Linked DNA regions of Lytechinus pictus. The protein of the gene in region 1 purifies or fractionates together with the protein of each later gene. This does not show direct contact. Links are inferred from orthologs where the notes say so. Each region holds a gene or a part of one and is shown on either strand. Other genes may lie near its edges.

Region 1 (6,953 bases):
GGAGAAAAAAAATCAAATTGAAATTCCCCGGGGATTACCTTTCACATGATCATATCCATATCACTGATCACTTTTCAAGGTATGAACTGTACGGAGAGAAACCTTACAGTATCCTGGTTCAGTATTCTTCAATTCATACTTTCACCATCGGTTAACTGGCATTCGGTCTAGACCTTGCTTTGTCTCCTTTCCATCTGGTCTTATCCCACATGGTTAAATCCTAGTTTGCCTACTAACCGATTGGTCTAATTGACATTTGGCCCATTTACCACTATGACTCATTACAAGTTTAAGTCTGTAGTCATTTTGTCTAATATCCATTTGGTCTAATACTGCTTATTATACATTACTAGATACATCATTTACCAATCAACAAAGTCCAAAATAATTAGGATTCCAAGTGGAGATTAGACCGTCTAGGAATTTTGATAAATGGTAATTATACAATAGACCAGTTTGTAGTTACTTCATGGACAATTTTGGTCGAATGACCTTTCATTTCTTTCATTAAGATAGGCAGATTTCAAAGCAAGATATTACGTATGCATGCCTTACATAGCGGGATGAAGAAATTGAATAGACCAGGTGACTAGAATAGCACATCAATGAACACTCTATGAAGGTATTTGTTGAATTCTACTTTGAATGCATATTAGACGATGTTGTACAATGTACTTGGCAAACTGTGAAATATACCAGTCATTCGTGGACGCATTGTTTTTTGTGGATGTGAATGAAAAACATATTCAAAAGAATATATGAATAATCAAGACATCGAAGTTGGTGCTTATCTCATTAAATTTTAAACCACCATGTCACTTTAGTACAAATGACCTTCCTCTGATCATGCGCAGAATCTTCTGATCATGCGCAGATGGGAACTACGAACTGGCTTATTGGGTATAGACTAAGTGTAGTGTAGGCCAAAAGGAAATCGGCCCATATTGATGGTAGATCAAGTAGGTTTTAGCACATGTGGTATCAGACTACTAGTATTGGAGACATAGACCAACTGCTTGTATTTCAAGCAAATATAAACCTCCTAACCAGCCAAGACAAATCCTATGCTCAGGTTATAACTTGGTTCATAGAAAAGGCAAACCCAAGGTGCACCAAGTACAGTAGTCAGGAAGGTGACACGACATTTGCTCCTGCGGCAATTGCTCTGGGCTTAATTTTGTCTAAGATGTAGGATTAGGCTTGCAATGGAAATTTATGTTAGGTTTAGGGTAGGGTATAGTGTTAAACCCAGGGTTGAAGTTGGTCATTCGATTATTGTGTGGAATTTAGAGCGGAGCAATTGTCGCCAGAGCAAATGTCATGTGTATGCCGCACTGAAAAGCTATCTTCTACCAGAGGAATGAAAGGTTATTGTATGGCACCAGAGGTTTTGTTGGCCATCAGGATGCTAGTCTTGCGTACCTAATATACCACATTGAAAAGCTTTCCTCTACCAGAATGGTACCAGAGGTTCTTTGGCCAGTGAGGATGCTAGACTTGCTTACCCAATATGCAACACTGAAAAGTTTTCCTCTACCAGGAAGAAGAAAGAACGTATGGGACCAGAGGTTTTTTGGCGGGTGAGGGTGCTACTCCTGCTTCATTATGCCACAGTGAAAAGTTTTTCCTCTACCAGAATGGTACCAGATGTTCTTTGGCCAGTGAGGATGCTAGACTTGCTTACCCAATATGCAACACTGAAAAGCTTTCCTCTACCAGGAAGAAGATTAATTCTTACCGTATGGCACCAGAGGTTCTTTGGCCGGTGAGGATGCTCCGGAGACCTTCCAAACCTGGTAGCTACCGTCATTGTGAGAGCTGGTGAAGTGGGTTCCATCCCGGTGCCAGCATAGAGATTCTATCTGGTGACCAACGAACGAAGCTTCAAGCATCAGCTCACTCTGGAACCAGATGATCATCAGTCCTCGGTTGTAGCCGATCAAGAGCTGTGTACCAAAAAGAGAGGGAAAAATTCATCATTAATGCACAATGCTTTGAAGAATTACGGTTCTACTGTTATACGAAAATAAGGAAGAACCATGAACTCTGCCTTAGTTGAACCATTATACATGTACTTCAGACAGACCAAGTCTATTTACGTTAATTCCAATGGTATCCCATCGGTCAGTTTGGAATCAGTTTCGGTGGTGTGATTTTCGCTTTAAGGACCATAGAAACAGTCTCATACTTAGACTATATACATGTACCTTCATCTTACTTTCATAGTTGTTTTTTTTTTTTTTTTAATCGATGATGGTCCAGGGGCAGTTTTTGGTATGAAACCCCACGTCATTTTGCAGTCAATAAAAACAAACAACTATTGTAAAATGACGATGAGCTCATACAAGGTAAATCAGGCAGAAAACACAGAATATGAGCTTCAAATAAGAAATTTCATAACTTGCAAGCAACTAATGCAGGCATGTATTAGAGAACATTATAGAGTTCTCTATACATGCTTGATAAGGTGCGACTGCATATGTCTGTGTTCAGGCGACATGTGGCGATACACAAGCCAAACAGGCAAAGGTGTGACATGCCACATTAGAGAGGCTATGGTAGCTGCAAAACCTATCAATCTTGACTTTCCAAAGAAGCAAAGAAAAAAATGATATCCGGGTGTCATGAAATATCTTTCTAGGAATAGGATACTTACTCTATCCTTGTCACTGGGGTGTTGGGCGATGGCCTCCACTGCGCCGGGGTTCACCTTGAAGTCATCAGGTACACTGGAAGATGGAGAATCATTTAACCTGGTTAGGGGGGCCATGCCACACACCCAACAGGTGGTGGTCCAAGCAGTGGAGGGGAGTAGTGGGGGTGTAGTGGGGGTGTAGTAGGGGTGTTGTAGGGGTGGAGGTGTGACGATGGTGGTTAAAGGGTGGTAGAAGAGAGGTGAATGAAGTGGAAGGTATGATGGATAAAAGATGGATGGAGGTATTGTGGAAATGGTAGACGGTTTATTGAAGGGATAGGGAGTAGATTCAGCGATAGCGGAAGGGAGTATTGAAGTTGTGGTTGCAAAGATGTCGAGCAGTACGGTTTCGAGAGTGGTTATTGACATTAGGGGAAGAAGGGATGAGTACAATATTGTGAGGATGAGAGGTAACAAATGTTAGAGGAGGGGGAGTTCAAAGAACAAATAGAGTGATTAGATATTCAAGGGTATAAAAGGACAGTTGTGGTAGATGATATGTGGGTTATGTATGACACATGGGGATTTGAGAGGGTGGAAAGTCGACATAAATTTGATGTACAAGAAGCAGAAGCAACAACAAAGAGAGGAAAGTAGGTGGATGGTGGTGTGACAAATAGTTTCATCCAGGAAAAGGGAATTAAATACAGGATGATCAAGGAATCATGCAAAACAATAAGCAACGAGATCGAGTACAAAGATATAAATGAGAATGGGTGAAAGGCAGAGAAGGGAGAAGACATTGTTGGCATGGAAACAATGAACATATAAACAAGTAGTATACAGAAATGAATAATGTGACATTACGAAATGAAAATAAAAGAGGATTATGACAGTAGTAAGACGAGTATCAGACGTGTGATGGAATCACAGAATAGGTAAACATTGACATGAGATGATAAGGATGATGTGAGATGAGGGAGGGGTATGGAAAGGGGTGGGGGTAAAAAAAGGGGGGATGAAGCAAAGCAATGAAGTAGTAATAAGTCACCAGTTACCCAAGATCAGTTAATACTATGATTATAAATGAGGCTAAAGCAAATGAATAATAAACAGAGGAACGCTTGAAAATGGATGTCTCCTATCAAACTATCAAACAAATTGATATTGGATTTTTTTTCCAGTATATTTCATAATCACATATATTTTTTTTAATATTTCAACCATTAAATTGGTGCACGATATCTTTTGAAGGGAAAAATTAAAACTCATAACATCCATGTTCAACAGCTGGGCCTGTAACACAAAGGTTAGGGAATAATCACTAATTTAAAAGAGCAATTCTGATTGGTTCGTAGTCACTCTACTGAGCAAAATGTGCATGTAACAAAGATCTTGATAGGCCATTTCATTTAACGGTTAATCGATAACCTTTGTGTTACGGGGCTCTGGTATTACATAAATGACAACTTAACTGATGATTAAAATAAATCTAGTATCAATAATAATGATATCCATGAATTAACTGCATGTATGGCAATGTTAGTTTAAAAACCCAAGTTTTGCTCAGGGATTAAATGCAAATGCAACGCTACACAATGAATACAATTGAAATGTTTACAATGACTCATAACATACTCCCCTACACGTGCTCTCTCCTTTCATTTACATGTACTTTGAATACATCACTACACTGGAAATCAAAGTAAATATTTCCCCTGTTCCATTTCAATAAAGCACAAAATAAATACAGCAAAAATGATATCATTATAGAATTATCCTGTTCGAGCTGGTTAAGAGGTTACTCTTGTTATAACTATACAAGTGTCAGAAAGCAGTTGTTAAGGTGCATATTTCACTGAAAAAATAACCTCCACTGCAAAATAACTTCAACAAAGTATTATTCTATATCAAACAGCTGCAAATGATAATGCATTAATAACTACATGTATTCATGACACCAACACGAAAGAAACCACACCAGGTACGTCAATCTATTCATACACTAAATTGTATCAATTATAATTTCACTGTTATAACTTCTACTCTCTGTTTCTAAATGATTGGTTAGTGGAAAGCTGTAATCATGAAAGCAAGGCTGTGATAATTTTATCAAGCTTTTAATTATGCTTCAAAAGAAAAAAGTACTACAGTACGACTGCCCTTAATGCCAGTTGGCATTAAGAGCACACATCGATGCATGTTGTAGATGACACATTAATATGACATTATTCTGACGTTGCTGAAATGAAGCGCTTTCATGCGACAGAACAGATGTACATACTAAATGGAGAAATGAACAGGATGGCAGTTAATTGCAGTTTATGAGAGGCAACAGTATCGCAGATATTCATGCAGTCGTTAAAGAATAAAGATGAAAATTTATGATGTCCAAAGCAAAGGATAGTATCATTAGTTACTATATTTGATAACAGATAAACGAGGGGTGGTGAAGGGGGATCAAGCAGTATACACAAAAGTGTTTGAATAGGAGAGGGTGGGGTGGTAGAAATTGGGACAGAGGCAGAATTTGGGATGGGATGGTTGAACTTTGGATAGATGGTAGAATAAGGGGTAGATGGTAGAGTATAGGGAGGATGGTATTTTGGGGAAGAGGGTAGAATTGGGGGTACATGTAGATGGTAAAATTTGGGATGGGATGGTAACATTTGGAATAGATGATAGAATTTGGGGTAGGATAATAGAATTTGGGATAGATGGTAGAATAGTGGGTAGAATGGTAGAATTTGAGGTGAATGGTAGAATTGGGGATGGGATTGTAAAATTTGGAATAGATGGTAGAATTTTGGGTAGATGTAGAATTTTGGATGGGATGGTAAAATTTGGGATGGGATGGTAAAATTTGGAATAGATGGTAGAATTTGGGGTAGATGTAGAATTTGGGATGGGATGGTAAAATTTGGAATAGATGGTAGAATTTTGGGTAGATGTAGAATTTTGGATGGGATGGTAAAATTTGGGATGGGATGGTAAAATTTGGAATAGATGGTAGAATTTGGCGTAGATGTAGAATTTGGGATGGGATGGTAAAATTTGGGATGGGATTGTAAAATTTGGAATAGATGGTAGAATTTGGGGTAGATGTAGAATTTGGGTTGGGACGGTAAAATTCGGGATGGGATGGTAAAGTTTGGGATGGGAGTGTAAAATTTGGAAAAGATGGTAGAATTTGGGGTAGATGTACATGTAGAATTTGGGGTGGGTGGTAGAATTTAGGGTGGAATGGTGGAGTTTCGGGTGGATGGCAAAATCTGTGGTAGATGGTCGAATTTGGAGATGGTGGGATATGGGGAAGATGGTAGACTTTAGGTGGGGTGGATAATAGTAATCTAGAAATTATGAGAGACCATTGGCCAAACTCTTGGGTATCCAAGGCTATGGACCCTGTTTCATAAAACAACAGTTACTATTATGGTATCTACATGAACACCATTTCACGATAACTACCATTGTAAAATTGCTAAACAGCCAATTAGAATCAGTGGTTTCATGGGTGTTTCCACTGGATGGCAAAGATACATACCATAATATTTACTTAGTTACTTTTGAGAAACAGTGTCCTTACAGAGGGTGTAGAAAGGAGTGGGAAGGGTAGGGTCTAACATCTGACTTTTGTTTACGTCACTCTTAATATTGTTCGTTATCATGAACAAAGTAAGTAACAATTTAACAGCATACAAACATGACAGTTTCAATAGTAATTTCAAAGTATAAAACATGGTTAGTAAGCTTATGATCAATAACTTAAAATCCTCTTTTACAATGACAGCAACAGAAAGGGTGTGTTTTCTGGACTGCTATTGTAAGCACTAAGCCCCAATCATGTCAGACATTTAAGACATTTCTGAGCATGATTACTAAATTTGAATACTACTAGCTGATAATTAGAGTCATCATGGGGCAGTAGTGTAAGCAGGATTTTTTAAAGGGGGGTGGGTTTCAAGCTGAATGAAATGTTGACAAAAAAGGGTCTTCAACACAAATTTAACGTCGTTTCGTACCTCAAAAAGAATTGACAAGCAAAAAAAAGGCCTTCAAATTTTTTTTTTTTTTTTTTTTTAAATCTTGGGGGTATAAAAAATTAAGGGGGGTTGAACCCCTGTAACCCACCCCCCCCCCTGCGTATGCAACTGTCATGGAGTCATCTGCAAAAACCAATTAAGTACAGGGGGTAAATTCTTTAACAGGATTGGTCTAAATTCCATTCTGTTGGTGAATGTGTGTTCGACCAAACATAATGGTCACAATCAAACTTTGGGTCGTTTCTAAATAATAATTTGATCAGATCAAATACACA
Region 2 (7,499 bases), on another chromosome or scaffold:
ACCAAAGACTTCACTTTTGGAGAAAAAAAAATTCTACATATTTTATGTGAATAAGGCATCATATACTTTTTAATATACTTTTGTGATTGTGAGCATTTTTCTTTTTGGGGTTTATGAAATGATAATGGGGTCTGGACATGAGAGACTAGATGTGGGAGTGTCCAGGAAACGCTGGCCTGGGATGGAGGGATAGGGAGATTGAAGGAAGGCAGGAAGGAAGGAAAAGGGCGTCAAACCTAAACCAGGGCTTGCAATCTCCTTTCGTTCGTTGCTCCCCCATCGTTTGTCCCGTGGTGAGGTACCCCGTTCAGACAAGAAACAAGAGCTCATTTTTCTTTCAAATGTGAATGGCAAATAGGCATTATTGAAGCTTTTAATTGTTTAATCACAAGGGCTTTTTATTTAGAAATTTAGAATAGAAAGATGTAGATACTAAGATAGAAATATATCTTAATTTTGATTAAAAATCTGTTGTGGGAAAGGTGGACAGATAATTCAAAGCTTTTAGTTCTAGATCTTTTCCATATATTTTTGAAGAACATTGGAAAAAACATCCACTGTAAAAGGATTGCTTTTCAAATGCACTCACAATTTAAGCTATAATGACACAAAAGTGGCAAGACAGCAGAAATATTTTGTGGTGTAGTCCCATTCATGCATTTATATGTTTGCAGTGCATTAAAATTCTCAGCAGGTCTACTTTAGTCAGTTTTGCAACATTGACTACTTTAGTCAATTGCAAAATCTTACATCATTATGATATTTGATAGTTGTATGTAGAATAATCTGCAAATCTATCAGGAATTAGATGTTTCCCTATTTTCTTCAACCTTCAAATATCTTTAAATCCAAGACCTTAATACGAAGGGTACAGCATAGTCCTATATGAAGGGTCAGAGGTCTCAACTGAGATATAGTGATAAGTGATTATATCATAGAGATAATGGCCTCGTTATCAAGCCCAGTAAGAGCAAAGAAGCACAGCTGACCTGATTAAAGTTTATTATTTGACTTTTAATGATGTAAATTGGTTAGGGAAAAGCAGATAAGACACCCTTGGCTGTGTGTAGTGTAGAAACATCTATTGGCTAATTAAACACGCAAGCTTAGGGTATTTGCACTCTTCCTTATGTGGTCTGTTCATATTTTCACCAGTGTAGCAATCCAATGCCAGTTAAGCATTTGTTATTCTGCCAAAGTGATGAAAACCTCTATTCTTGTTATGCTAACAGGCCGCTGAAAGGGTCATACCCCACCCCCACTTATTTTTCAGTATGTATACAGAAACTTGAAAATTACCCATTTGTGATTGTATACATGTTCAGCCCCCCCCCCCCTCCTTTTCAAATTTGTTCAGCGGCCTCTGCATAGTTTTGGCACAACTATATATTCAATCTGGTGTTAGTGTAAACCGTCTATCTGTGTTGGTTACAGCATTGGACTGGCATCAGTGTTGTGTTGGTGTTGGTCTGCTCCTGGACAGGGTGCGAGTCTGGTGTAGGACTCAGTGCTATTGTGGTGATAGACTAAGTCTTATGTTAGACTTGGAGTCGGTTCTGTATTAGACTTGATTTCTGTTGTTAGACTTGACATCAGTTTGGTGTTACAGTCTGGTTTCTGTCCAGCGTAAGTTTAGTGTCATTCACGTATCAATCTGGCGTTGGTTTGCATCATCATTATGACTGCATGCTGTAATGTCTCTTCTGCATTTCCTCCATGTCCAGTAAGGTCACTCATAGTACAACTGTCCATTGAGTGACCTTATGCATCAGGCATGTATGCACACCACTTGGCAGTGTTCGACACTGAAATATTGTTCAAATAGCTGTAGCTGAAAACCACCACCAATCGACCATAGCATATTTTTATGCCTGCTTGGCTTTGAGCAAATAAGTCATACATGTACAATTCATATTCCACGGCAATAACATCTGACTCAAGAATGGAATATTTTTTGGTGATAAAGGTAAGGTATGCATGAGTAGTGAATGTTTGATTAAAGGCCTACCACAATTCAAGGATTTGATCAAAATAGCTATCACACCATTCTACACGTATCAGTCTATGTGGAAAATAGTGTTGGAGTCATTAGTATTGGTGTGTAAACGGGAGACTCTTCGTAAGGCGAGTGGAGAACACAGAAATCTGTTCGACTTAGCCAAAATTTAACTTTTAAGATGTAAATGAGCATTGTTTTATGGAATCTGGTCTGAAAGTGAAACAATGCTTCAAGTTATTGACTTATCGATTGATTGATTATTTGATTGATAGATTTCATTTCTCATGATAAAACACAGTAAAAAATAAGTGCATATGGAAGGTTGACTCATATATAATCTACTGTACCACTGGATGGTAATTTGTATAAGATTTCTTTTTTTTTTAAGAAGACTAGGATATTAGTATAAAAAAATATGGTGTTATGATGTCCTTCACACTTGTGTTTTCTACGCATACTTCTCCAGGGATTGGTGTGAGATCTAAAAAAAAATAACGTCTCCAAATCGTTGTTTCTCATGGTCTGAACACAGTGGTTCCCTTCTCACCTGTCTTTGCTACACATACTCCAACCCTCAATGGACGGAGATCCATTTGGCGCGCCCCAATTTGACCGATTCTCTGGGGTGCGCGGTGACATTCCCACGTAACGCATACGTCGGTATCGATCCAAGCGTCAATTATGTAAATCACATCTTTTCTCTGGACAATTCCGGAGCATGACCAGACATTTTGCCGGTGTATTCATGGGATATCGTTAGTGGATTCTCGGCTATAAATGATGAAATGATGCAAACATGGAACCATATTGAAAAGCAATAGGCGTACATGTTCTCTGTGCATTTTCTAATAGACAGATTAAAGATTAGATTTTAAATAGCTGTCTTTGAATTTGTGAAGACAAAGACAAATATTTATCTAGTTTTGAGGTTACTTGACATTACAATTTTCATAAAGCCATGGATGCTTTTAGAACACTATTAGGGATAAAAGACTGGACAATTCAGCCTTATGACATATATTAAGTGGTCATTAATCAAAGTTTAGATTCATAAAAGCATGAATTTTAGCATTGATTCCCTTCACACAATTGAACATTAATTATGTCAGGTTATTGGGGGAAAATTTGGCTGCAGTCCCATGCCTTCAATTCAGTATTTGCTTGAAGATCATATTTCCGCACTCCTTAGTAGCTAGTCTAACCCTGACAACATTTGTGCATTAATTTCCTTGAGCCTCGCCTCATGATCATGACCAAGAGGTCTTCAATTAATTAGTTCCTTCTCATGTTTCCTATAATGACTGCCGATGCCGACCATGACCAAATTAAGATGATCTTGAGGAATTGTATAGTGCCTACATGTATAGAGACTTGACAGATAGCACACAGATGCATTGAATACACAGTACATCACATAGAGATACATGTGCAATTTTGTTGTCATATATTGTTTTTGATGCTACTAAAGTAATTTTCAAATTAAATGAGCAGAAATCTTCAAGTTGAAATGGCTACATTTTTACACAATAAATTGAGAAAAATATAATCGGGACTCCTTTTCCACTGCTTTTATAAGTAATACTTTTTATGTTCATTCTAATTTCATATTTCAGTGGCGATATATTTAATTGTATTCAAGTAATTAATACTAGAAAGTTTATTTATAATGATTCTGATTGATATAACTTGGTAGTAATCTTTGCATCAATATTTTTTTTTACTGTACTTAAAATAAAACCTAATGGGAGTCTTAGAAAAATGTAACAGATATTGAGGATATTATTTAGGGGAATTTATAAACATTGCATGGAAAATATAACTTTTTTTCTAAATAAGGCACATCTGTTGGTATTCTCATAATAGTACAGCTTATTACCCCTTTTGGAATTATGATAACAAGTTTGTGCAGTTACTGTATATAGTGTCATTACTGTACTGTAAGTAACATTTAGTGACTGCATGTCTTCATTTGATCTGAATAAAAATTGAATATCGTGGATTTGCAATAAATCTGTAAATAATTGATAGTATGCCTACCAAATGAATAATATCTGATTTTCTGACAACATTATTGAATAAAAAATGTCATATTCGGTGAGCTGAAAATAAAGGTCATCTGACCCAGAGTGAAGGGGCAGGAGGGGGAAGGGAGCGTGATTTATTCAGTTGGCGTACAAATATTCTGCTAACAAGATTAGGAGGCAACAAGTTATTGTTTATTTCAATGAAGCAAGCTAATTATAGACTTCCCGCTACTATACATGCATGATAAAGATTAAATGTATATCTGTCTCGTAGAACGCACAAGTATGCTGTGTTACCCCCAGGCCCTCGTCCCCCTCCCCCCAACGATTGCTACATGGGGTGACGGGGAAGGGGGATCGTGTGGCTGTCATGTCATACGCGTCGTGCCTGCGAGTCAGCGAAGTGACAGCTGAGTCGGTCTTCCTCTCTCGGAGAGCCGATACATTTGGCCGGTTGACGCTAGTACTTTAGAATGTTGGCATGAGCTCACGCTTTGAAGATTTCAATCAAGGATGCACATTTGCTCTCTCACTCATCCAACAAGAGAAAGACAGAGCGAGAGAGAAGGACAGTCTGAGGATAGACATCATGTGTCAAGCTTGTATGTTTCGTTGTTTTTAGATTGATTTAGCATTCCTGGCATAGCAGCACAGTGCTTTCATTGCATTAACCGGTTGTCGACGGTTGCTTGCTCTGTGTGTTCACTCAGTGTACATTCCCCATAAGCAGAATGTGTAACAGCGGTGGGATACTGCTATTTGTATGTGGTTTGCGTGCAACCTTCTCTCAGCCCATCATGCATTCATGAGTCGAGAGCCAAGCCTGTATACCCCCCTGACACAAACATGTTTGCGTTTCCAACCATATTTTGTGGACAAACACGAAAATGAAATATTAGTCAGTGAAAATAGGCCCAGCTGCAAGGAGGATCTTCATTACTGTGTAGCTCATTTTGCCATGGAATCACGCGGATAATTTTTGTCTCTGGAAATCACTCCTTGGCGTCGCACAGATGGACATCCGAAAGGCGAGGATACTCTTTCAAGGGTACGTTCTCCGGCTGGTGAAATGTGAGTGATGAAATATAGACGGGTGAGCGAGTGTCGTCGATTTCTCTGAAATCTGTTTGCTTGAATGTAGAATCCTGTGTAGCTCCTGTACTGTCTTTGCTGTCATGTGGATCCATACTAGATAGTTCATTACCAGTCCGAAAGAATCTCTCAAAGCAGGTTTTGTATTGAATTGCAAAATCTACCAAAAGGATATGGTGGCTAACACTACTAGATCTACATCTAGTAGGTTTTTTTATATCAGAAAAAGTAGGACATGATTGTGTCGTGTATTCCATTTCCCAGGGAATGGTTCTGGCTGTTTTCAGAGAAAATGAAATAAATCAGGCGAGGGGGGAAAAGGATAGAATCCATTCTTTCTCACAATTTGATCGATAACAATGAAGCAGAATGCTGGCATGAACGAATAGATTTTGGTTGTGGCATGTGAATATAATGATGCTAACGCTGTATGGGAAGCTGTGTGGGAATATGCATGTGAATTGTGGGTAAAGTTGCAGTACACGGTAAGTTGGCAAGTTTCTACTGTCTTAAAGACAATTCCCTGAATTTGACATTGGTTTAAAAAAGACAACATCTCTGTTATTTGGAATTCAATAATTGTCCCTAAATATAGTTTCAAAATGTCACTTGCCATATTATGCCTTTAGGCCCTAATGTAGGCCCACTAATAACAAAAACCAAATGATGACCTCTTTCCTTTTGAAGTTGACTACAAACCAACAATAAAGAAGGTTTAACTTAATTGCTATTAATTATCAGAGGTAACAATTATCAACTCAAACTCCCTCCTCGTATATATATTCAAGCCTTATGCATCAGAGAAATGGAATCCCCCGTCTCCCTCTTAAAGTATAAAATCATATGCATAAACTGCATACAGACTAGTCACTGAACCTGGAGGTATGTGGGGCGCTCAAGGCCGACACCCTTGCAGTTGTCATTTCGATGAATCCCTAGGTCTCTCTGTCTTTGAACGATAAACAAGTCCTATAGATGAGACATAAACAGAGATTGACTTGCTAAACCACACTGGTAATCACACAGTGCTGTGTAGTATATGGAGTACTTAAAAAATACATATTCCATATGTTGGCCTTTTTACTTTCGCAGGCCTACACTGCCCATGCAATTTGTGTCTTTGCTGCCTGGCTTTAAAATCACTCGATGGAGATACGTGTAGTCTATGATGAGCTAGCTTTCAATTAAAAATACACTGCATTATTGAATGGGTACTCTTCTGGCCTTTCCAGTGCCTGGGTCCCTTAACACAAAGGTTAGCGATTAATCGCTAAATGAAATGACCTATCACGATCATCGTTGCATACACATTTTGCTCTGTTGATTGATTAAGAACCAATCAGAATTGCTCTTTCAAATTAGCCATTAATTTGCTAACCCTTGTGTTACTGGGCCCTTGTCAGGCTTTGCTTTCTCATTCTTGGAATCTGCATCAAATATTGAAAGTCTCATTTGGAGCAAAGATGAACAAAAAAATATATTGAAGAAGCATTAAAAATGAAATGAAAGTATTAATAGAGAGAATAAAAAGGTCCATTGCAAATTATTTATAAGTTTATACAAATACCCTGACAATCATCTGATCAGTGAAAGCTGGAATGGTCAGGATGACAATTTGTAGTCTCATACATATGTGTTTGTGTGCGGTCCATGGCTGTGGAATCAATCAAATTACACTATCATTATAATTTGAATTATTGTTTTATTATTTTAATTATTGCTTGTTTGATCAATCTACAAAAAACATATAGCCTATGATAAACAACCATTCGTACCTACAGTTGTTAATAAAAAAAATAACAATCAATTTTCAATCATTTTGAGCCTTTTTTTCCCTTCACAATTCAGCTATTAGTATCAGGCAGAATTGAGGTTTATCTTTAACATTCGAATATGCATTTGTTCAGTCTTCTAATTCAAGAAAAATGATGTTTGGTTTTATATTTTCAATTTCCTGTGCCTCATCTTTATCTCCCAATAAAATATGCCTCTTAAATACATACCTTCATTTTTTTTGTGGGTTTTGTAGAGTCTAGCAGGGATCTCTCTGCTCTCCTTATAGTATTTTTCTTCCAGCTCATTAATCAGTCCATTAGTATGAGAGCTCTCAAAATGCCATTGCTGTTTAGGGTAAATATCGTAGATTGCCAATCTACTATTTATACACCTTTCCATTTACTCAGTCCCCATTTTTTTCTTTTTACTCCATGTTTCTATACTTTTCTATCTTCTGTTGCTTTGCAATTTATTGTATAAATTGTGAAAATCTTTTTTAATTATTGATTGTTACCTATAAGCCTACAGTATATTTGAAATGTGAAGATAAATAGACCTTTTCCCATTTGTGCCTACAAAAAAATGACTATTTGAAACGGCCTGTAATA
Region 3 (7,267 bases), on another chromosome or scaffold:
ACTGTTTTCGCAAAAAATGATATTGCTTAAATTTAAAATTCGCGATTTGTGATATTTTCAGTGGGTTGCTCGGTGAATTTTACTCTTCATTTTATTTAAATATAATTATTTTTCAGCCAGGGGTGCCCTTTTAAACGTACGGTTAGGCCTAAGATGTGTCTATTTAACTATTATAGTCGAAACAAAAAAACTCGAAGGATTCAAGTTTACTTTATCAAGATTTTGAAAACATATTTGCTGTAAAAGGCCTTCACTTTGTACATCTAAATGTTAGATCTATTCTACCAAAAATTTCAGAACTTCGAATTCTTTTTAAGAGAAAGAATCTTGCAGTCATTGCTTTCACAGAAACATGGCTAAATAACTCGGTGAACGATGAAGAAATCAATATAGATGGATACAAAGTAATACGCAATGATAGATTATCAGGTTCTGGGGGTGGTGTATGTTTTTATGTCCGAAATGATATTGCATTCAATATCATAGATGTTTTAAGTACAGGTGATTCTGAATCACTGTGGATTAATTTGCTTCTACCAAGATCAAAACCAATTATTGCTGGCGTCATTTATAGGCCTCCGAAAAGCAATCAATTTATTGAGAAGATGTCAAATATTCTCGATATATTAAAGAAAGATGATGAAATTATACTTTTAGGCGATATGAATGTTTGTCTTTTTCAGAAATCTCCACTGGCTAAAAAATATACTGACTTATTGAGTCTTCATGGATTTAGCCAACTCATCAAAGATGCAACCCGTGTCACTCACACATGTTCTTCTTTATTGGACCATGTGATTTGTAATAACGAACAAAAAATAAGTCAAAGTGGTGTTATTGATCTTGGTATAAGTGACCATTCTTTTACTTTCTGTACACGAAAGAAAATTAGGCTGGCTATAGGTGTTCACAGAACCATTGATATCAGATCGTTGAAAAAATATAGCGAAGAATCTTTCAATCTTAAACTGTCTGCCGTTGATTGGTCAGATTTAACCCAATGCACTGACGTAAATAAGGCTTGGTCAGTTTTTCAAAATACTTTTATTTCAACGTTGAATATGATAGCGCCTCAAAAACGGATTAGAATTAAACAGAGATCAGAAAACTGGATGACTAAAGATATTATTTCTCTTATTCGAGAAAGAAATGTGGCGTATAAAAAAATGAAGAAAAATCTAAGCGGTCAGGATTATGACACGCTTTCCAAAAGATACAAGAAATTAAGAAATATGGTTCAAAGAGAGGTGAAAAAGGCCAAATTAGAATACCTACAAAATAAAATAGAAGAAAATAAAAATGATTCTAAAAGACTTTGGCAGAATCTAAAAAGTTTGGGATTAAAAAAGAAAAATGGAAAGGACCAAGAATTAGTCGTTTCAATTGACGGAGAATTATGTCATGATAAGATAACTATTTCCAATGAATTCAATTCCTATTTTACAAATGTCGCAGCTACGTTGGTAGATAAACTTCCATCTTGCAAAGATATTTTCAGTGCAGACAGTGAAAACATTCGTAAATTTTATGAAAAAAAGGGTATAAGCCAAGATAAATTTGAATTATTACCTGTTAGTGATCAATTCATTTTTAATGAGTTGCGTAAATTAAATGTATCAAAAAGCACTGGGTTAGATTTGATACCTGCTAAATTTCTAAAAGAAGGAGCAAAGAGTTTGTACAAACCATTAAATTTCTTAATAAATCTATCTATCTTTACTAGCACTTTCCCAGAGGATATGAAAATTGCAAAAGTAACTCCTATTCATAAGAAGAAAGATAAAACTGCTGTTGAAAACTATAGACCTATCAGTGTTTTAAGCATAGTATCCAAAATTCTAGAAAAGGCGGTATGTGTTCAGATCGAAAAATATTTTAAAGAAAATGATATGATTTACGAGTCAGGTTTTCGACATGACTATTCGACTGAGACATGCCTTATTCACTTGACTGATTATCTGAGAACAAATATGTCTAAGGGACAATTCGTTGGGATGGTACTCCTAGATCTTCAAAAAGCATTTGATACAGTTAATCACGGCATCTTATTGAAAAAATTACAAATAATGGGTTTTAACCAGGCTACTGTAGCATGGTTCAAATCCTACTTGTCGAATCGACATCAAGTAGTGGCTATTCGCGATATTTGTTCCAAAATTATGCCTATAACGTGTGGAGTTCCACAGGGAAGTATTTTAGGCCCAATCCTATTTTCAACTTATATCAATGACATGTCTATTTGTTTAAAAGCTGATTGTAAATTATTATTGTATGCAGATGATAGCGTACTACTTTGTTCAAATGCCAACCCAAAATTTGTTGAGGAAAAACTTAGCGAACAGCTGTCTACATGTGTCGATTGGATGACTGATAATAGATTATCGTTACACTTAGGCAAAACCGAAAGCATTCTGTTTTGTTCTAAAAGTAATCATAAAACTTCATTTGAATTTGAAGTATCATACAATAATAAGATAATTCATAGGAAAGAATCTGTAAAGTATTTAGGCATTGAGTTGACTAGCTCCCTTTCATTTTCATCTTTAGTAGAATCAATCGTAAAAAGGGCGAATGCCCGTTTGAAATTTTTGTACAGGTATCAAAGTTGTATGGATCAAAAAGCAAGGCGTATTCTCTGTTTTGCTCTTATTCAGAGTTTATTTGACTATGCCAACCCTGCTTGGTTTAGTGGCATAAGCGAACTCGATAAAAAGAAGTTGAAAATTATACAGAATAAAATGGTTAGATTCATTAGCTGTTCTGGTCCCAGAACCCATGTTGGCTACACCGAACTCTCTGGAGCAGGTTTTCTTGAAGTCAACAAAAGATCAAAACAGCTTATTTTGCACCACGTGCATAAAATCTATCACAATAGATCGAATCATTACATTGGATCAAACTTTAATCTAGTTACCGAAATACATAACTATAATACAAGAAACAGCCATTTCAATTTTTGCTTACCAGAAAGGGTAGGTAGTATTGGTAACTCATTTTATTACAATGCTATAAAACATTGGAATTCCCTTCCCAATGATATAAAGGAAATAGGAAACTTTTTGCATTTTAAGAGGAAATTGAAAGAATATCTTTCACTTGAGAGTCAAAAAGAAGATGCAAATGATATGTTGTACGGTTGATTTAGCCTGAATACTGACCTAGTTCTTTTCTCTTCTCTACTTGGTATTATTATGTATTTTACATAGTTTGATTGAAGCTTCGATATGTCCTTTCTTCTATTCTTTCTATTTCTTTTATTTCTTCCTATTCTCCTCTTCTTGTTGTTATTGTCGTCACGTTTATGCTGTTGTTCTTCTCCTTATTTATTTCCCTTCGTTGTCAGTTTCTTCCGTCTCCTTCTACTCCTCGTCCCCCTCTTCTTCTGTTCCTCCTCTTCCTTCTCCTTCTTTTCTTCTTCTTCTTCGTTATATTCTTGTATATATCTTATTTATTGTCTATATATCTTATTTATTGGTAATAGTAAATTCTGATTTTTTTTCTTCATTTTTAATATGTAAATAGTATAATTTTAACATTTTATTATCTTAATTCTGTATATTGAGGACCCCACTGGAAATAAGCTTTCGAGCTTTCGTGGGTCATCCTGTGCAAGCCTGTTGTTTTAATGCTACTGTATATATGTTATGGTGACTTGCCAAATAAAATCAATCAAATCAATCAATCAATCAATCAATCAATCGAACCGCGGACTTCGTCATGCAGATACCACTATAGTGTCGAGAAGTTAAAAGGAAATGGCGCCATCCTACACTTTGCACGCCCAATCCAAAGGTGTGTCCCTTTATGACTCAACTTTGTTCTCACACACACCCACATGAAATAGAATAAATTAATTTTTTCTAATTGATGATGTTAATTAACAGAGCCTTTTCTCTAGAATACATTGAAGAAAAATACTGGGGAAATTCGATGTTGAAACAAGGGGCACCACGGGGGCACCAACAGTACCAAGTTGACTGGTTGGCGGAAGTAATTTGGAAGTGGGTTTATATCTGACGTCACAGCCAACTGATGTATCAGCGACATCACATCAACCCGTAATTTGTCAATTTGATTACCTCTTTGGAAGGAAATAGGAAGCAATAGGATTACTCTTTGGAGAATTGATGATTTCCCGCTTCAAATGCGGGATTCGGTGGGCATTATGGCGAAAAATGGATCCACGACAATGCTCAATGGGAGCAACAGATGGGCTAAAGGACTGAAAGAAATCAAAAGCAAGGTGAGTATTTCATTGGTGTTCTCTCAGACTCATGTCTCTGCTCTAGCACTGACACTACCGGTACTCTGTCACAGCAGGCTAGGCCTCCTTCGCGGCCGCGGCGGAGCCGGCGCCCCTTGCCCTTGCTGCTTGTTGCCTGAACAGGCGCTGTCCTCTGGCTCGAGTCTAGACATGGACCAAGATGAATGTTATTAATTACTAACTAAGTCACTATTATTGATAACTGCAATATTATTTTCTTTATCATTTTGAAAACACGACCCAGCTGCCCAGTGTAATAACTTCAAGTCCTTTTCATGAAAGAATCGTACCATAAAAAAAGGAGAATGATCGATACATCATACCGGGCGTAAGGACATTTAATATTCAACCCGTTTGGAGACTTTCCTCAGATATATAGAAATATGGAATTTACCTTAATTTCAGACCTGTCTTATATCCAAGAGCAAATGCTGGTTATTCTTTTTGGAATTTTGCATTATTTTTTTCTTCAACCCGTCGACGCGACTGCCGGGGCGATCAAATTATTCGGCGATGGTTTTGGCACTAGTAAGTACATGTAGTATTCAACCTGTCGCCAGTCGGAAGATTTTTTTTTCAATTATGGAATTGGAAGAAGATCAGAAGGACAAAAAAGAGAAAATAGACATACATAGTTCTAAGTAGGATAAAAGAGAAGAAGACAAATGGAGGAAGAGAAATAGTAGGATGAGGAGAGAATTTTGAATGGCCATTTTCATTTTGGCAGGCTAAAAAGGTCTTGATGGGGGCAGATCACCTATCATTAAGTTCTTCCCATTCATTATTTGCACCACTCTATAAAATTTGAACTACATTTATACAGTGCTTCCCAGAAAAAACGAAACCGAGGTTTAGTGATGATTTATCATAACTTAATCATAAATCTTCTCTTTCAGAAGGTATAACATACAAGATTTCTCATCCACGCATGAGTGAGACAGTGGGTAAAAACAATTTGAAGAAAGGATAGCAAAAAGTCATTTGGCGGGGGGTATCAAAATTAAAAAAAAATCACATGCCTAAAAATTTAAATATCTGTTTTTTAATGTAGCTAAATCGCAGAAAATGGTCAAGAAATAATAAAGCTATGGTTCTTCAAAATAATTCTTGTATTTCCATAATTTCATGAAACATACATGTTTTCACCGGTTTCCCGCAGAAGCTATCGCACGGTTAACAAAAGACTTTATGCATGGCTGATCATCAACAAAACGGATTGTCAAGTAAGTCTGAAAGTTATCCAGTATTAAAACCTCTTCATTTTATGAATTATTGGACTTCAAGCCTTATTTCAAATAAACAGAACTAGGTTTAATACTTCTTGAACGTTTTCTGTTATTGAGGTATCAAATTAAAGAGCAGATATTGAATTTTTTAATGTGATTTTTTTTTTGAAACTCAGATACTGCCCGCCAAGTGACTTTTTGGTTTCCTTTCTTCAAATTTTTTTTGCTCACTCAGGCATGAATGATAAATAATCTTTTTTCAAATGAAAGAGGAGACTCTTCTTTACAATGATAGGTCATTTGTCTATTGTATTTGTGATTAAGTTATGAAAAATCATCGATAAATATCGGTTTCGTTTTTTCTGGGACGCACTGTATACATGTAGTTCAAATTTTATAGAGTGGTGCAAATAATGAATGGGAAGAAATTAATGATAGGTGATCTGCCCCCATCAAGACCTTTTTAGCCTGCCAAAATGAAAATGGCCATTCAAAATTCTCTCATCCTATTTCTCTTCCTCCATTTGTCTTCTTCTCTTTTATCCTACTTAGAACTATGTATGTCTATTTTCTCTTTTTTGTCCTTCTGATCTTCTTCCAATTCCATAATTGAAAAAAAAATCTTCTTCAGCCTGGTGTAGTACAGAAGTAAAGTTAGTACTGTAAAACTATGGTACCATGCCATACAGGTACAATGAATCGCCTTCCTATTGTGTAGGCTACTCTACATACTCTGGAACTCATCCTTGCAAAGGGAAAATATCATTCTGAGCAAAACTTTTTTTTTACAGAAAAGTGATTTTTTTAATGCAAATGTGAATATTGGAGAAAATTATTGAGTGGCTGATGTAACATTCAATTACATGCCTATTCTGCTTTGTATCTGTCGCAAATTTGTAATACACTTGTAAAACTTTATACTAGAGACTATTTTTAGTTTTGGTAATACAATCATAGAGAGCATGTATTACAGAAGGAGATCCTTCTTCCAATTCCTCTGTTAATCCTTTGTTATCGCTTCCCTCTGGCGAAGGAACGATATCTAACATCAATCGGCAAGCCGCCAGGCGAAAGTAAGAGCCCGCTTACGTAACGCAATAAGCCCGCTCGTAAAATCTGAGGTCAGTGATTTTTTTTAAGGTCCCTGCGAGGCACCGCCGAAAACGACGTTCTTCCACATAACTTCGAGCTCTGTTTTTTTCAAAATCGAAACACGACTTGCTGTACTTCCAACATCCATATCACTTCGTACGGATTTCTGTACGTCTTTGATGTATGGTTGAACTTCTGAGATGATCCCCTTTGCATACATACCAAATACGTCACAATCTGATTTGACTCAACAAAATTACAAACGGAGGAACTTTAGAGATTGGTCATTTTAGGTATGTCTGTCTTTCTTCCGTAGTTAAATCTTTTCCTGCTCGTACATGTTTTAGAAATTATAAGGTGAAAAAGCATACTTTGAGCTTAATTTTTATGCAAAGATCATTTGCGTGATTACAATGGCCTTGATACTATAACGACGAATCTACGATCCATTTCTACGTCGATTGATGCATCGTCGAGTATCTTCCAGTGCCCCACGTACTCCTATTTGTGTAAGTTGAAGGTGAGTGTGATGGTTGAGCTCCGAGCTTGCGCACCCAGCTCATTCATACAGTACAGGCCTCAGCTCCGGACCGTTTCGGAAAAACCTGAATTGACTCATTTGAAGAGATAGATCTAGACCTAACTTTTATGATATTTCGTTGATTATATGATCTGCAAATTTTAT

The links.
Region 2: the proteins of LLGL scribble cell polarity complex component 2-like (region 1) and protein kinase C iota type-like purify together in Drosophila melanogaster (affinity purification with western blotting; 6 studies listed by BioGRID, with this or other methods). This does not show direct contact. The link is inferred for Lytechinus pictus from reciprocal best matches to the Drosophila melanogaster genes l(2)gl and aPKC.
Region 3: the proteins of LLGL scribble cell polarity complex component 2-like (region 1) and partitioning defective protein 6-like purify together in Drosophila melanogaster (affinity purification with western blotting; 5 studies listed by BioGRID, with this or other methods). This does not show direct contact. The link is inferred for Lytechinus pictus from reciprocal best matches to the Drosophila melanogaster genes l(2)gl and par-6.

The regions. Positions count from the first base shown.
Region 1 is NC_087254.1:8,879,399-8,886,351, forward strand, and holds the start of LLGL scribble cell polarity complex component 2-like, read right to left. Parts: upstream 3,080-6,953; 5' UTR 3,065-3,079; coding exon 2,657-3,064; intron 1,947-2,656; coding exon 1,739-1,946; intron 1-1,738. UniProt on the Drosophila melanogaster protein: Essential for the development of polarized epithelia, for cell polarity associated with asymmetric cell division of neuroblasts during development, and for oocyte polarity formation.
Region 2 is NC_087258.1:8,748,292-8,755,790, reverse strand, and holds the start of protein kinase C iota type-like, read left to right. Parts: upstream 1-4,435; 5' UTR 4,436-5,036; coding exon 5,037-5,094; intron 5,095-7,499. UniProt on the Drosophila melanogaster protein: Serine/threonine protein kinase which is required for apico-basal cell polarity in the germ line as well as in epithelial and neural precursor cells, for epithelial planar cell polarity and for cell proliferation.
Region 3 is NC_087246.1:69,801,025-69,808,291, reverse strand, and holds the start of partitioning defective protein 6-like, read left to right. Parts: upstream 1-4,165; coding exon 4,166-4,243; intron 4,244-7,267.